Macaca mulatta: one gene and its partners. Each later gene encodes a partner of the first gene's protein in a complex. Links are inferred from orthologs where the notes say so. Each region holds a gene or a part of one and is shown on either strand. Other genes may lie near its edges. The genes, in order: ZNF541, CIR1, DNTTIP1 and HDAC2.

Evidence for each region.
Region 2: ZNF541 (region 1) and CIR1 share a complex: the UniProt entries of both Homo sapiens proteins name them as parts of the histone deacetylase complex. The link is inferred for Macaca mulatta from reciprocal best matches to the Homo sapiens genes ZNF541 and CIRSR.
Region 3: ZNF541 (region 1) and DNTTIP1 share a complex: the UniProt entries of both Homo sapiens proteins name them as parts of the histone deacetylase complex. The link is inferred for Macaca mulatta from reciprocal best matches to the Homo sapiens genes ZNF541 and DNTTIP1.
Region 4: ZNF541 (region 1) and HDAC2 share a complex: the UniProt entries of both Homo sapiens proteins name them as parts of the histone deacetylase complex. The link is inferred for Macaca mulatta from reciprocal best matches to the Homo sapiens genes ZNF541 and HDAC2.

What each region holds. Positions count from the first base shown.
Region 1 is NC_133424.1:60,034,505-60,038,068, forward strand, and holds part of ZNF541 (zinc finger protein 541), read right to left. Parts: intron 3,309-3,564; coding exon 3,135-3,308; intron 1,873-3,134; coding exon 1,548-1,872; intron 1-1,547. UniProt on the Homo sapiens protein: Transcription regulator which is essential for male fertility and for the completion of meiotic prophase in spermatocytes.
Region 2 is NC_133417.1:79,294,159-79,298,406, forward strand, and holds the start of CIR1 (corepressor interacting with RBPJ 1), read right to left. Parts: upstream 2,835-4,248; 5' UTR 2,777-2,834; coding exon 2,705-2,776; intron 1-2,704. UniProt on the Homo sapiens protein: May modulate splice site selection during alternative splicing of pre-mRNAs. Regulates transcription and acts as corepressor for RBPJ. Recruits RBPJ to the Sin3-histone deacetylase complex (HDAC). Required for RBPJ-mediated repression of transcription.
Region 3 is NC_133415.1:98,576,327-98,580,328, forward strand, and holds the start of DNTTIP1 (deoxynucleotidyltransferase terminal-interacting protein 1), read left to right. Parts: upstream 1-1,179; 5' UTR 1,180-1,248; coding exon 1,249-1,353; intron 1,354-1,926; coding exon 1,927-1,997; intron 1,998-3,165; coding exon 3,166-3,262; intron 3,263-4,002. UniProt on the Homo sapiens protein: Increases DNTT terminal deoxynucleotidyltransferase activity (in vitro). Also acts as a transcriptional regulator, binding to the consensus sequence 5'-GNTGCATG-3' following an AT-tract.
Region 4 is NC_133409.1:19,023,463-19,027,026, reverse strand, and holds part of HDAC2 (histone deacetylase 2), read left to right. Parts: intron 1-1,158; coding exon 1,159-1,233; intron 1,234-1,700; coding exon 1,701-1,839; intron 1,840-3,564. UniProt on the Homo sapiens protein: Histone deacetylase that catalyzes the deacetylation of lysine residues on the N-terminal part of the core histones (H2A, H2B, H3 and H4).

The DNA of each region.
Region 1 (3,564 bases):
ACAATTACAAAAAATTAGCCGGGCACGGAGACACACGCCTGTAGGCCCAGCTACTCTGGAGGCCGAAGCAGAAGGATCAGTTGAGCCCAGGAGGTTGAAGCTGCAGTGAGCTGTGATCACACCACTGCACTCCAGCCTGGGTGATAGAGTGAGGCCCTGTCTCCCAAAAAAAACCCAAAAAATTTCTACACGAATGTTTATGGCAGCATTATTCATAATAGCCCGAAGTGGAAACAACCCAAATGTCCATCAACTGATGAATAAATAAAATGGGGCCCATCTGTACAAGGGAAAAATGTTCAGCCATAAAAAGGAATTGAGCACTGATATGCACTACAATATGAAGGGACTCTGAAAACACGCCAAGTGAAATAAACTAGACACAAAAGGCTGCATATTGTATGATTCTACTTACATGAAATGTCCCAAATAGGCAAATCCAAAGAGAGAAGGCAGATGAGTGGGTGCCTAGGCTGGGGGAAGAAGGGACTGTGGGGATATGGGCAGAGTCACTGCTAATGAGCTCTGGCTTCTTCTGAGGATGCGAAGCGTGCTCTAAAATTAGACTGTGTGATGGGTGCACGGCCTTGTGAATATCCTAAAAAACACTGCATACTCTAAATGGGTGATTTGCATGGCATGTGTAGTATAGCTCAATAAAGCTGTTAGGAAAATTACATAGGCCAGGCCAGGCCAGGCGCAGTGGCTCACACCTGTAATCCCAGCACTTTGGGAGGCTGAGGAGGGTAGATTACTGGAGGTCAGGAGTTCGAGACCAGCCTGGTAACATAGTGAAACCCCATCTCTACTAAAAATACAAAAATTACCCAGGCATGATGGCACATGCCTGTAGTCCCAGCTACTTGGGAGGCTGAGGCAGGAATTGCTTGAACCTGGGAGTTGGAGGTTGCAGTGAGCCAAGATTGCACCACTGCACTCTAGCCTGGGTGACAGAGTGATACTCTGTCTCAAAAAAAAAAAAAAGGAAATGACACAGGCTAGACAGGGTGGCTCACACATTTAATGCCAGTACTTTGGGAGGTCAAGGCAACAAAATCACATGAGTCTGGGAACTCGAGACCAGCCTGGACAGCATAGCAAGACCCCATCTCTTCGAAAGCTAAAACATTGGCCAGGTGTGGTGATGTGCATCTGTAGTCCCAACTATTTGGGAGTCTAAGGCTGGAGGATCGCTTGAGACCAGGAGATCGAGGCTGCAGTGAGCTGTGATCGAGCCACTGCACTCCAGCCTGGGTGACAGAGCAAGACCCTGCCTCAAAAAAGAAAATGATAATGACACAGAAGCGCAGGAGGAAGCATGGTAAGATAAATGGCCTCTATGTTTTCTTTCGGGCTGTAAAATTCTATGCACTAGAAGGCACTTAGCTTAGTTCTAGGGCACATCTGAATAGCAAAGGAACCCTCAGACTAGGTATACCCAGGCAGGAGACAATCACTGAACCCAATGCTACAAGGGAGAGTGGCCATGATCCGCAGGCGATCCACCCTGGGATCACAGAGTGAGTGCCCCAGCCTCACTCACTCACCGAGCATGGAGCTGATGAGCTGGTCAGGGCTGGCCTGAGTGGATGTGGAACAGAGGGTGTTGAAGTACACTCCAGAGCCCTCCCGGATGGGACTGAGCATTGGGGGCGGTGTGTAGGGGGAGCACTGGAATAAGCCCTTCAGGAGGCGGTCCACCAGGAACATGGGCGACCGCAGGCGACTCTGGTGGCATCCTGCAGGGCCGGGCTCCCCAGCCGTGGAGGGTGGAGGAGGGATGAACAGCCTCTTGGGTGGGGGCCGCTTCTTCCGCTTTCTCTGCTGGCTGCTCTCCTTGCTGTCTCGCTCCTCCCCATCTTTCTCTTGTTCCTGAAGAAGTTTAGAACCACAGGTGGTCACCTGAAGCCACCTACTGCACCACTCCATCTCCAGGATGGAAAGAAAGCAGGAAAAAGAGACTGGCCAGAGACAGGAAACTAGGACATGTACGCCCAGCGAAGGAGGCTGGCCACACCTGGGCCACACCTAAGGTACAGAGCCTGGTGATGATACGGCTGCAGCCTTCTCCTGCACCCACTGCCCCAGGAGAGCCCCTGACTCTGTGTGAGAATGGCCTCAATCATTAAGACAACTGGCCCTTAAAAAGAGAGAGATCCCCAGAGATACAGTGTGACAGTGACAAGAAAGAAATGTAGCTCCACCCAAATGACAAGCACCCAAAAGACCCAGCCACTGACTCAGGGGACCTTCAGGTCCATGGACTCTGTCCTGGAGTCCAGCAGGAGCTTCTCCAGTAGGGGGTCCTCCAGTACAGGCTGCAGAGACAAGCCCTACGAGACTGATCACTCGTAACTCACCACGCTCTCTCTCGCCTCCACAAAATCTCCTCTCCGCTCTGCCAGCCCTGCTCCTCCTCATCCTCCAGGTCTCAGCTCCCATACCTCCTCCAGGAAGCCCTCCCTTACCTCCTCAGGCTTGGGAGGAGCCCCCTGGGTACTCCCTGGGCTCCCTCTGCTCCCAGCTCTGCCCACTCTGGGTTGTCACTGTCTGGGGACAGGCCTGTCTCCTCCACTGGACTGGGAGCCCCGGGAGGCAGGGCCCAGGCTACTGTGGTCACCTCTGTGTCCCCAGCACCACCCAGCACAGGGTCCGGCACAGAGGGGCTCAGTCAATGCTGAATGACTGAACTAACATGCAAACCAGTTTCTTCCGGATCATGATTTTTTTTTTTTTTGAGATAGAGTCTCACTCTGTTACCCAGGTTAGAGTGCAGTGGCGTGATCTCAGCTCACTGCAACCTCTGCTTCCCGGGTTCAAGTGATTCTCAGGCCTCAGCCTCCCGAGTAGCTGGGTTTACAGGAGCCTGCCACTTGTCCAGGGCCAGCCCAGCTAATTTTTTTGTATTTTTAGTAGAGACAGGGTTTCACCATGTTGCCCAGGCTAGTCTCGAATTCCTGAGCTCAGGCAATCCACCCGCCTCAGCCTCCCAAAGTGCTGGGATTACAGGCATGAGCCACCACGCCCAGCCTGGAGTCAAAGATTTTCTGTGGTATCTGGTTTGGGTTTTTCCTACGGCTTCCCCCAGCATCTGGGGGCAGTGGCAGGAAGGAGGCAGACCGACAAGCACCCACCATGGCCATGCTCCCTACGTGTCGGGTCACTGGAACCACAGGGATCGAATGGGGGACCACCAAAGGGGCTGCAGCTGTGGAGTCCAAGGGCTTCTTGGCTCCTGGGGGACTATGCCTGTCCCCTTCTGGCCTCAGCACCTGTCTTAGCGGCTTGCAAAACTCTGTGCCAAACACCTAAACACAGAAGAGAAGAGATGGCTCTTTAAGAGATAAGGTAGGTGGGGAAAGAAAGAGCTGCTTCAGCAAAAAAAGCTGTCATAGAAAACAGCAGTGAGTCTGTGGCACGGACTGAGCTGCAGAGCTGCTGCAGCCCATAGCGACGGCCTGCCCCTGGAGAGCCATACAGCCCAACTCCAGCCCCCAACCCAGAATGACGTCCCCATCCTGAGATAAGTGACACCAGTCTCGTTTACTCCCCACAGGCCTGCCA
Region 2 (4,248 bases), on another chromosome or scaffold:
TGTCTAGATAGCTGTCTGGAGCCACATCAAAGTTAAGAAGAGAAAACTGGGACTGCAGATCTGAGTCATGAGTAAACAGGCTAGTTAAAACGGGCTAGTTGGATGTGATTGCTTGGGGCAAGGATACTAAGTAAGCAAGAAGTGGGCCAAGGATGAAACTTTGGGGAACACTTATATTTTAGGAGCAGGCTAAAAATAAAGATCCAGTGAAGTTGATGGAAAAAGAAGTCTACTAATAGAGCGGGAAAACTAGAAGAGAGTAGTTACTACAGCTAAGGGAAGAGAGACTTTCACAAAAAAAGGAGTTTACAGTGGTGCTATTGTCAATAGCCGGTTTGTAAAGTGTTTGCCAGTTCACAAGAAGACAAATAAGGAGCTTGGACCACAATGTAAATTAACTGCTTCCTTCATTAACAATATCAAGAAAAAAAAAAGAACAGCTGAACTAAAACAGTGTATCCTGTGACATAAATGACTGAGGCAGCGCATAACAATACATAACAGAGTGACCAGCAGATGTATAGCATTCACTCTTATTTCTGGTGAACAAATGAGACCTTAAAACCTACCAGACTCTTTGTAAGCTTGGGAAACTGAAAACGAACAAGGAAAAAAAGAACCTACTGGACTTTAATAAACCCAACATGCTTAATTTTACAATTAGAATTTTCTTTCTTTCTTTTTAAATATAGATGGGGGTCTCACTTTGTTGCCCATGCTGGTCTTGAATTCCTGGCCTCTCAAAGTGTTGGGATTATAGGTATGAGCCACCATACCTGGCCCTTAAAATTTTCATGGTGGAACTCTTTTGCACTCTTTGATCAAACTCCTTTGTTTCTTCCACTTCTATTTCTTAAAAACAAACAAACAAACTTTACTGGAGTATGACATATAAAAAGTTGTACATATTTAATGTATACAACCTGAGTTTGGTGACAAGTATATCCCTGAGAAACCATCACCACAATCCAGACTATAAACATATCCATCATCTCCAAAAGTTTCCTCCTACCCGAATACATTTTTCTATTTATCTTCATTTAATATAGTTCCTCTATCCTTAGTTAATTAAGAATGTTAGAGGTTACCCCCTCTCCCCATAAAGTATTAACTATCTAGAAAGGTCTGCTAATCAAAAACATTTCATTCTTCTCCTCTATCCTGGGAAAAGTATAAAAGAGATCACAAAGGCCAACAGTATTTGGTACATTTTACTTAACACTTTACACGGATGAGAAGAATGTAGGTTCTAAGCCTATAACTGCTTTACTGAATTTCTCATAGGGGATTTGCAAAAGTTATTCTCCGTGGATTTCTTTTTTCTTGTAAGAAAGCTGATTCAATGACTTTTATAACGCTAAATGTCAAAAGTTCCAGTAAAAAATTATGATTTCTCGGGTATATTTGTCTCTAAATATAAACAGCAACTAAGCAAGCAACTGAATTCCATCTAATCTCTTCATTCTTGTAAAACTAGTAATAGCTGACCCCCTGAGTATGCAGAGAAAGGAAACGTCTGTGTTTGCTGTCAACAGTTATTGAGCCAACCAAATACAAGAAACCTCTCCCTCCCACAGTTGCAACCACGCAAACACAAACTGGTGCGGCGGAAAAAATCACTAGGTTAATCGGGTGTTCCAGATTCTAGTTCTGGTACAACATTTAACTAGCTGTGTAACTCTTGGCAAATTTGTTTCCTCATTTATAAAATAAGGAGATGGGGCTGGATGATTACCAAAGAGCTTTCAAGGTGTATCTGCGTTATTAAAATTTCATGGGGGAGTTACTAAGAAAAAATGTTTAATAAGGCTCCTTAGGAAGGTAACAGTGAAAAAAAGTTGAGAATCACTGGTCTAGAAGTGAGAGTATATAGCAATATCTCATCACCTCAACTGGTTCTAAAAACAAATAAAAGCTTAGTTATTTTCACAACTTTCTACATGGGGCAATCAACATTTTATTGAGCACCTCCTCTCTGTAGCGAACAGTGATAGATGCCTACGTTGTTTCAAATCCTTTATCTCCACTATTTCACTTAATCCTCACAATTAAGCCAATCACCCTTAATTTACAGATTAGGAGACTGAGGGTCAGATATTACAAATATTTTGTGCAAGGTCTTAAGGCTAAAAGTGACTGCTCGAATAACTAGAATCCAGATTTGACTCGAAAGCCGATTCTTTCTAATTCACTCTTCTGCTTTTCATTACTATGATATTCACCAAGGTATTACACCTGGTAGACCTGTAATTACGTAAAACACTAAACTTCAACGAGGTCATTAAAAAGACACTAGATTATTGGGTAAATTTTTTAAAGATCTATCTTAAATAAACGTGGAGACTTCTTTGTACAGAAAAGTAGAGTTCAGAAGCCGTGATCCCTGGGATCCGAAAAGACAAAAAACCAGAATCAGCTGAGGGAAGTACTGAGGAATTTTGACATTAGTCTTCACATATTATGGATTTACATTCCGGGCGACAAAGATTCTCTAGGCCGCCGGTCTCCTCGCTGTTGCAGAATAAACGCTGAGGATCCCCTGCGTCAGCGAGCTGCTCAGCAGAGAAAGGCGAGACTACGGGGCTTTAGGCCTAGAGAAGCGGGGCTGTCCTACGGACCTCAGAGACATCACCACTTTCACTTCCAGCACCTCAGGGAAGGCAGTCTCCGTGGGCCTGATCCCTCCCCGGGTCTCTTTACTCACTTTTTTGATGTTGGATTTGGAGGCAGGATGAAAGTCTTTCTTACACATGAAGTTGGCGAAGGATTTCCCCATCTTGGACCTGGAGCTAGGGAAAGCGGCACCTAGATCTGTAAGTAACGTAAACAAACTCAGTCTCCTAACCGGAACTGCTTTTCCAGCGGCAGGGGGAACTTCCGAGGTCAAAGGTAACAGCTTCCGGCAATTGATGCCTACACTGGCCAATCCTCCCTCCGTCCACCTGTCACTTCGGGTAGTTTGGAGGCCAGGTGAGGGGCGTGCACGGGGGAGGGGCGTGCATAGTTGAGACAGAAACCGGGAAGACCCAACTGTGGGGCGGTACTGCTTAACCGAGGGGCTCCAGAGCCCAGCTGCGCTGGCTGCGATTTGAGCGCCCAGGGCCGGGGTGCGGGGTGGACCGCGGCGGCCCTTCGACCAAAGGTGCTTGAAGCTCGAGCCCATTACTTTCTGTGAACTCTGACTCGAGCTGCAAAAACTTTTCTGCACTGTTTTTCTCATCTCTGTTATGGAGATAATAATTCCTGCCCTAACTGTAGTATGTTTGCGAGAATCCAACGATATGTTTCTGAAAGCGCCCGCTGAACTAAGAGCGCGTGAAATAGAATGAGACAGCTTTGCAAGAACGGAGGCCCTTGCCCCAGCTGTACGGTGCTGGCGCCGAAAGACGTTCAATAAAGACTTACTGAATGACGAATACACGTTAGGAGTTAGTAAAATCTCTCAAGGCTTCACCTCCTCAGTGGGCTAGGTGCCATTCTAACCAGGCGGCAAGTTTCCTTAGCTTTCCCTACCACCCCAGTTAGGCAGCTCAGATTACCTATTGCAGCTTGATGGACCTTGGGACTCCAGGTTTTTGAGTGGACGTGGCTGCTTCTGCAGCAGGTGACCCACCAACCAAGCTCTCTATCAGGGTAATGTTAAGAATAAATTTACGCCGGGCGCGGTAGCTCACGCCTGTAATCCCAGCACTTTGGGAGGCCGAGGTGGGTGGATCACCTGACGTCAGGAGTTCGTAGACCAGCCTGGCCAACGTGGTGAAAACCCGTCTCTACTCTAAATTAGCCGGGTGTGGTGGCACGCGCCCCTGTAATCTGAGCTACTCGGGAGGCTGAAGCAGGAGAATCACTTGAACCCGGGAGGCGGAGGTTGCAGTGAGCCGAGATTGCACCATTGCACTCAGCCTGGGCAACAAGAGTTAAACTGTCAGGGAAAAAAAAAAAAAAAGAATAAGACTTTATGAGAAATTTTCTCTCTTACCAAATAACAACAACAGCTTTCACGTGAATATCTAGTATGTTCTATGCACTGTGCAAAACACTTTACATGTTGCCTTATTAAGTTCTAACAGCCCATCAAACAGTGTCTTTTTTATTTTACTGGTGAGGCAGAAGGCATAGGGAAGAGAGAGATTAAATAGTCTGCCAAAATTATATAGTGATGGAACTAACTATAAAACACAAATAGAAGGAGATCCAGGACATAAGGATTGAAACACAGAAAGAAAATAACAGAAGCCATCAAGACAT
Region 3 (4,002 bases), on another chromosome or scaffold:
TTAAGAACTAATGAAAAAGCACCAAACACCTACATCTTTGTCCCTCTAGCCCACACAGGCCATTCTTGGACTGTATGAAGGCTAGCTGGCAGAACTCAAGAGAACAGTTGCTATGTATGACTCAGATAGTCTGCCTACATATACCACCTTTATTTCTTTTTCCTCTATTTCTTTTTTTCTTTATCTGTCCTGTTTATGCCTTTGGTCAGCTGTGATACCCAATGGTGTCCACTGGCACTGCTTAGTCCTATGGGCAGGTACAAGGTTAAAACCTCCCTAATAGGATGAAAAAGTTTGGAGCCAGGAAGTTGCCCTTATTGTTATAAGATTGATGTTGGCTCATGGAGATAATTAACATTTGTTGATGGCCTAACATGTGCCTAATATGCTTTTTTTTTTTTTTTTGGGGGGGGGGACAGAGTCTCCCTCTGTCCTCCAGGCTGGAGTGCAGTGGCGCGATCTCGGCTCACTGCACAATCTCGGCATAATTAACATTTGATGACGACCTAACATGTGCCTAATACGCCTGTTTTTTTTGCTTTTTGTTTTTTGTTTTTTTGAAACAGTCTCCCTCTGTCGCCCAGGCTGGAGTGCAGTGGCGTGATCTCGGCCCACTGCAACCTCCGCCTCCTGGGTTCAAGAGATTCTCCTGCCTCAGCCTCCTGAGTAGCTGGGATTACAGGCGCCCAACATCAGGCCCGGCTAATTTTTGTATTTTTAGTAGAGACGGGATTTCTCCATGTTGGCCAGGCTGGTCTCGAACTCCTGATTGCAAGTGATCCTCCCGCCTCGGCCTCCCAAAGTGCTGGGATTACAGGCATGAGCCACCGCCCCTGGCAGAGCATATTAAAATCTAGTCTTCAAACACTGAACTGCAGGCGTCGCTGCACCAAACACTTCCCTCTGCTCCCCAACCCCAGCCTACAGAAACCAGCTCCCCTCCTCCTACCCCGCAGTCATCCACAGGCCTTGGCCCAGCGGGAAACGTCCCTTGACTGAACCGCCACTGAACACCCACACTCCACAATCGAGGGGCAGCCCTCCCGAGAGGAAGCCCCAACGACCTCCAACCACAAGGCCTCTAGGTGTAACTGTCCCGGGCGAGGCGCGGCGGTTCGGTTCCCATGGTAACCCCGCAGCTCCTGCGTCGCGCTTCCGGGCGGACGAGCAGCGCGCCTCAGTGACGTCACGGCGCCACTTTCCGGCCGGTGGCAGAGTCCGGCGAAGTTGTGGTGGCCCTGGGGCGCCATGGGAGCCACTGGCGACGCCGAGCAGCCGCGGGGACCCAGCGGGGCCGAGCGGGGCGGCTTGGAGCTGGGGGATGCAGGCGCAGCGGGGCAGCTGGTTCTCACGGTGAGGGCGCCCCCGGTGAGGTCTGGGCTCGGGCCGGGCAGGGCCTCGGGGCTCCCGGGACCCTGGCCCGCGGGCGAGAACGCGGCGGCTGCAGCTGCAGAGGGGGTTGGCGTTTTCGCAGCCCGACGACCTGGATTCAAATTCTGGTGCCGCCCTCCTAGCTAGGTGACGTGGGCCAGCTCTGTCGACCCCCTGAGTCCCCAGATCATCATCTATAAAATGGAGATGATTAGTACCTGTCTCATAAAAGTTGTTGTGGGATGGGAAGATAAAGGCGGGTACAGCGCCCAGGACATCACCTGACACAGAGTTGACCCTCGGTAAACACTGCTTCCCTTCCTCCTGCCGTGCCAGAAGGCAGGGTCGGGCCTTTTAAGGCAGGAAACTTCCTCAGTTCCTCTTTTGTGGAGGGGGCCTTCCAACTGTTGTCCTCCCCCGATACCCCAAGGCGGGAGAGATGGTGACGGATCTGAGAAGCAGGAATGTTTAGGTTTAACTTCATACCCACCCTCCACCTCCACCCCACGCCAGTGTCACAGGCCGCAGTGACATTTGTTCCGTTGGTCCCCACAGAACCCTTGGAACATAATGATAAAGCACCGGCAGGTGCAGCGGAGGGGCCGCCGCTCACAGATGACAACAAGGTAAGGCTGGCCCTGCATGGGACTTGTATCCCAGCCACTGGCTTGCATGGCAGCTTTGGGATCCCCAGTGCACAAGACTATGGAGATCTACAGCCTGTAGAAAGAGCACAGGACTGAGAAAGAGGAGACTCCGATCCTGTAACTCTGTGTGATCTTGAGCTAGTCAAGTCACTTCCTTCTCTGAACTCACGAAATGGGGAAGGGCACAGGAGATGGGTTGGGGAATAAAAAATACCTAAGACCCCTCACATTCACTGGCTCTGTGATTGAGGGCTCTTAAGAGGTCAGTTAGCATGGAGTTTAAGAGCACGGGCTCTGGAGTCAGACAACTGTGTTCTCATGCAGCCTCTGATGAGCCCCTGTTTTCTCAACTATAAAGACGGATTAATAGTATCCATCTCAGGGAAGGGAGAGAGCACAAGGTGGGCCTTTGGGATGCTGGTAGTGGTGAAATGGATGTTCACTGTAATTACTCATTAAAGTGTATAGACTTTTCTGTATAATAAGTATTATATTTCATAAAAACACTTTGGGCCGGGCGCAGTGGCTCACGCCTGTAATCCCAGCACTTTGGGAGTCTGAGGTGGGCGGATCACCTGAGGTCAGGACTTTGAGAACAGCCTGACCAACATGGAGAAACCCTGTCTCTACTAAAAATACAAAAAGATGGCCGGGTGCAGTGGCTCACGCCTGTAATCCCAGCACTTTGGGGATCTGAGGCGGGCAGATCACCTGAGGTTGGGAGTTTGAGACCAGCCTGACCAAAATGGAGAAACCCGGTCTCTACTAAAAATACAAAAATTAGCTGGGTGTGGTGGTGCACACCTGTAATCCCAGCTACTCGGGAAGCTGAGGCAGGAAAATTGCTTGAACGCAGGAGGCGGAGGTTGCAGTGAGCCAAAACCACACCACTGCATTCCAGCCTGGGCAACAGAGTGAGACTCCGTCCAAAAAAAAAAAACTTTGAAAATAATACCCACTTCATAGAGTTATGAGAATGAAATAAAGTCATGCCTTTGTGATTTGAACAAAATCTGAGCATGTAGCTAGTTTTCAGTAAAAGTTGTCTAGTATTGTTAAAGAATTCTATGTCCATAATTGACTGGGCAAGGTGAGAAAGAATATGTTTCGGACATGCCCCCTCACCCTGTCTCCCTCCTGAATGCAGTTTCACAGATCCTGCCATCTCTATGGATCTCCTCCGAGCTGTCCTGCAGCCTAGCATCAATGAGGAGATCCAGACTGTCTTCAACAAGTACATGAAGGTGAGAGGGACACAGGATAAAAAATAACGGGAAAGACTCACGAGGAGCCCAGTCCTTCCTTGCATCACCAGTCCGTCTCTTTCCTACACACAGATATCTAAAGTTTTCCTTTTTTTTTTTTGTTTTTTTGTTTGTTTTGTTTTGTGTTTTTGAGACAGAGTCTCACTCTGTCACCCAGGCTGGAGTGCAGTGGCATGATATCGATTCAGTGCAACCTCCACTTCCCAGGTTCCAGCGATTCTCATGCCTCAGCCTCCCTAGTAGCCAGGATTACAAGCGCCCACCACCACACACAGCGAATTTTTGTATTTTTAGTAGAGACGGGGTTTCACTGTTGACCAGGCTGGTCTCAAACTCCTGACCTCAAGTGATCTGCCCGCCCACCTTGGCCTCCCAAAGTGCTGAGATTATAGGTGTGAGCCAGCGCGCCCGGCCAGCTTTCAAATTTTTAATCCCCCAAGAATTTTATCCCTTCCTTGAGGGTAATTCAGATATCTTTTTTTTTTTTTTAATCTGCCCTTGTCACTCACTGTCACGTTTTTGTTTTTGTTTTTTTTGCTGACTTCTTGTAAGGATGAAATGACTTAAATGTACTGTGCTGAGCACTGCACTTAGGACATAACAAGTGTCCAGTAAGTACTTCTATTAGTTGTTTAATAATATCACCATTATTGGGGCCATGCACAATGGCTCACACCTGCAACCCCAGCACTTTGGGAGGCCGAGGCAGAATCACTTGA
Region 4 (3,564 bases), on another chromosome or scaffold:
GATTGATATAAAACCTGCATAATAATGACTTATATTAAGCTTATGATCCTGGCTGGGTGTGGTGGCTCACGCCTGTAATCCCAGCACTTTGGGAGGCCGAGGTGAGTGGATTACCTGAGGTCAGGAGTTCGAAACCAGACTGGCCAACATGGCGAAACCCTGTCTCTACTAAAAAAAGTACAAAAAAATTAGCTGGGTGTGGTGGCGTGCACCTGTAATCCTGCTACTCAGGAGGCTGAGATAGGAGAATTGCTTGAACCCCGGAGGTGGGGGTTGCAATGAGCCGAGCTCACGCTATTGCAGCCTGGGCAACAGAGTGAGACTCTGTATCCAAAAAAAAAAAAAAAAATTATGATCTATCTGAGCAGTAAGAAACTAAAATGTATTTCTTATAGTGCTTGTGACTTAAGGATGTACAAAGATATTAATATATAAAACAAGGACCCTTATTCTTGAAGAGGTTACAATTCAAGGGCATAGGGAAAGACTAAGAAAGGGTTATATATGTCTGCCATATCCCCTTCATTCTGTCAATACTGAGGAACTAAATGTGTGATGTTGTGTTATTTATCTGTATATGTTTTTTCCTTGTTGTCTTTAATATCCTTCTGTATTTTGGCTCCCATGAACCTAGTTAATTCTTACAAGCTTTCAAGATCAAGATTAGCCACGGAAATAGGCAACCAGCTGTTACATCTTTTTGGTTTAGTAACTTCCTGACATGCATTTCAAAGTTACAGATATTAATACGTATTTAAGGAGTTTTAAAGAAAGTAAATCATACAGCAATTGAAGTTACTTTTAGAATGTTAACTTACTGTAATATTAAGGGGAAAGGTCTAGAAAATTTAAGCCTGTGTTTTAATTAAATGAGAACTGTTGTGCATAGACAACTATTGAGTTCTTGTTAATAGACCAGAAATATTCCACAGATACTCCTGATAAGATTTGATGATGATCTTTCACAGATAACACTGTAATTACCTTGGATAAAACAATAAATATATTTTAAAGTTGTAAACTTTATATTACACTGTGAAGTGTATGTTTGATGATTGCATCAAGCAAAAAAAGTATTTGTAGGAAATAGTTTTTGTAAGAAAAGGCTTTCATTAATTTGCAGAGTGTGTTGAAATTAATGAAATCCATCTTCCACAGTTAATGTTGGAGAAGATTGTCCAGTGTTTGATGGACTCTTTGAGTTTTGTCAACTCTCAACTGGTGGTTCAGTTGGTAAGTGCTAATACAATCAGATTTAAAAGTTGTTCTAAATTTGGTGTGTATCTTCCAGGTTATTTGTGTAAAGCAGGAGTTTTAATGATTGTGAATTTTGATAACAAAAGGAAATCAGTATGTTTATAGTACAGTACAATTTGCTTTCAAACCTCTGTTTTGTTATTGTGACTTAAATACTTTTGTAACTTACATTTTTCACTTACAGACTTCTTTCATCCCACTTGTCTTCTAGCTATCATTGTTAGTACCACCATCTACATAAACCATTATTTAATCTCAGGGCGCAGCTCTGGGAGAATGTTTTTCTAAGGAGAAACTCCTATTTGTGTCATAGATGATTTTTGTTAAGTTTTATGATTTTAAGCTCTTTCTTATGCATGGCATACACTTGTAGGGTTTTCGTCTCGTTGTACTAATTTTTTATGTTAAATATTTAAAAAGTCTACCTTGTTTCTACTTCTTAGCTGGAGCCGTGAAGTTAAACCGACAACAGACTGATATGGCTGTTAATTGGGCTGGAGGATTACATCATGCTAAGAAATCAGAAGCATCAGGATTCTGTTATGTTAATGATATTGTGCTTGCCATCCTTGAATTACTAAAGTATGTTAATTTATATTGGTACTTTTTTCAGTGATAAAATGTTTTCATTAAAACACAATAAAAGTCTGTGGCTTAAAAAAAATCAGGTAAGCCATAGGTTGAAATAGTTAATGGTGAATTTTCTGGGAATTCATTACAAAACAATGAAGAAATGCAGGAAGTTTGCCCAAATCTTCAATTATTAAGAGTTAGTGTGTGGCCAGGCACTATGGCCGAGGCCTGTAATCCCTACACTTTGGGAGGCTGAGGTGGGTGGATCTCTTGAGCCCAGGAGTTTGAGACCAGGCTGGGCAACATGGCAAAACCCCATCTCTGCCAAGAAAAAAATTAGCCAGATGTGGTGGCATGCATCTGTAGTCCCAACTACCCAGGAGGTTGAGGTGGGAGTATCTGAGCCCAGGAAGTAGAGTCTGCAGGAAGCCATGTTCCTGTCACTACACTCTAGCCTGGGCAACAGTGTGAGATCCTACCTTAAAAAAAGAATTAGAAGTGTATAAAAGGCTGGGTGCCCGTGGCTCACGCCTGTAATCCCAACACTTTGGGAGGCCAAGGTGGGTGGATCATGAGGTCAGGAGTTCAAGACCAGCCTGACCAGCATGGTGAAACCCCATCCTACTAAAAACACAAAAATTAGCCGGGCATGGTGGCACGTGCCTGTAATCCCAGCTACTCAGGAGGCTGACGCAGGAGAGTTGCTTGAACCTGGGAGGCAGAGGTTGCAGTGAGCCAAGATCATATCAGTGTACTCCAGCGTGGGCTACAGAGCAAGACTCTGTCTCAAAAAAAAAAAAAAAAAAAAAAAAAAGAATTAGAAGTGTATGTAAATGTCAAAACTCCCATTAAATATCCTTTTTTAAAAGTAGTTTGGCAGTTTTCATTTTAGTTAGTTTCAACTAATAAAAAATGACAATGACCTTGGAAGTTTATGTTCTAGTATTTTGTAAATTGTAAATTGAAGACAAAAATTTGAAACCAGTATTTAAGGAAATTTGTTTACCTGTTGAGTTAGTCTAACTGCCTAACTTCCATATGTGAATGAGGCTTTGTTCTCTACTGATGGATATAAAATTATCTCTGAGTTGCTGCAGGAGTTATTTTTCCTTAGCTGTGGCTGCAGTTTGAGAGAGAGAGATCTGTAGAGGTACTTATGAATGTGGACATTTGCAATGTTATTTTTTGCCATCAGTTATGACACATCTTAGCAGATTCTACTTTATATTGTACTGAGCTGTTTTTTGCTTGTAGTTATTCCATGCATGCTATCCATAGAGGCTGATTTTTCAGTCACTGAAAATTGATACTGACTCCTCAAATAAACAGTAATTGAGCAGGATCAGTGTAACATCTTGTCAGCTCATCAGGAGCAAAGGAAAATCATTTGCAATCATTTGCCTTGTGTTTTAATTGACTGTTGATGTTGGTTCCAGTGTCTTCAACTCTTTGAGCAAGTTCTTGCCCACTCAGCTAATAGTTTTAAACAACTTTAATTTCTCTGGACACAATTTTTTTGGGTGGTGTAATCAAACATGATTTAATAAATTGACTTGGTGCACAGCTTTCCTTGCTTATCTAACACATGAGCCACTCAGAAACTTTACCTTGATCACAGCCTCATTTCTGTTTTTTAAATTTTGTGAAGAAATTTTGCTATACTATTATACGCTCTTTATATTCTTATGAGAATAGTCTCATGAGTGCTTAGTCTGGAAATATCAATTTACATTG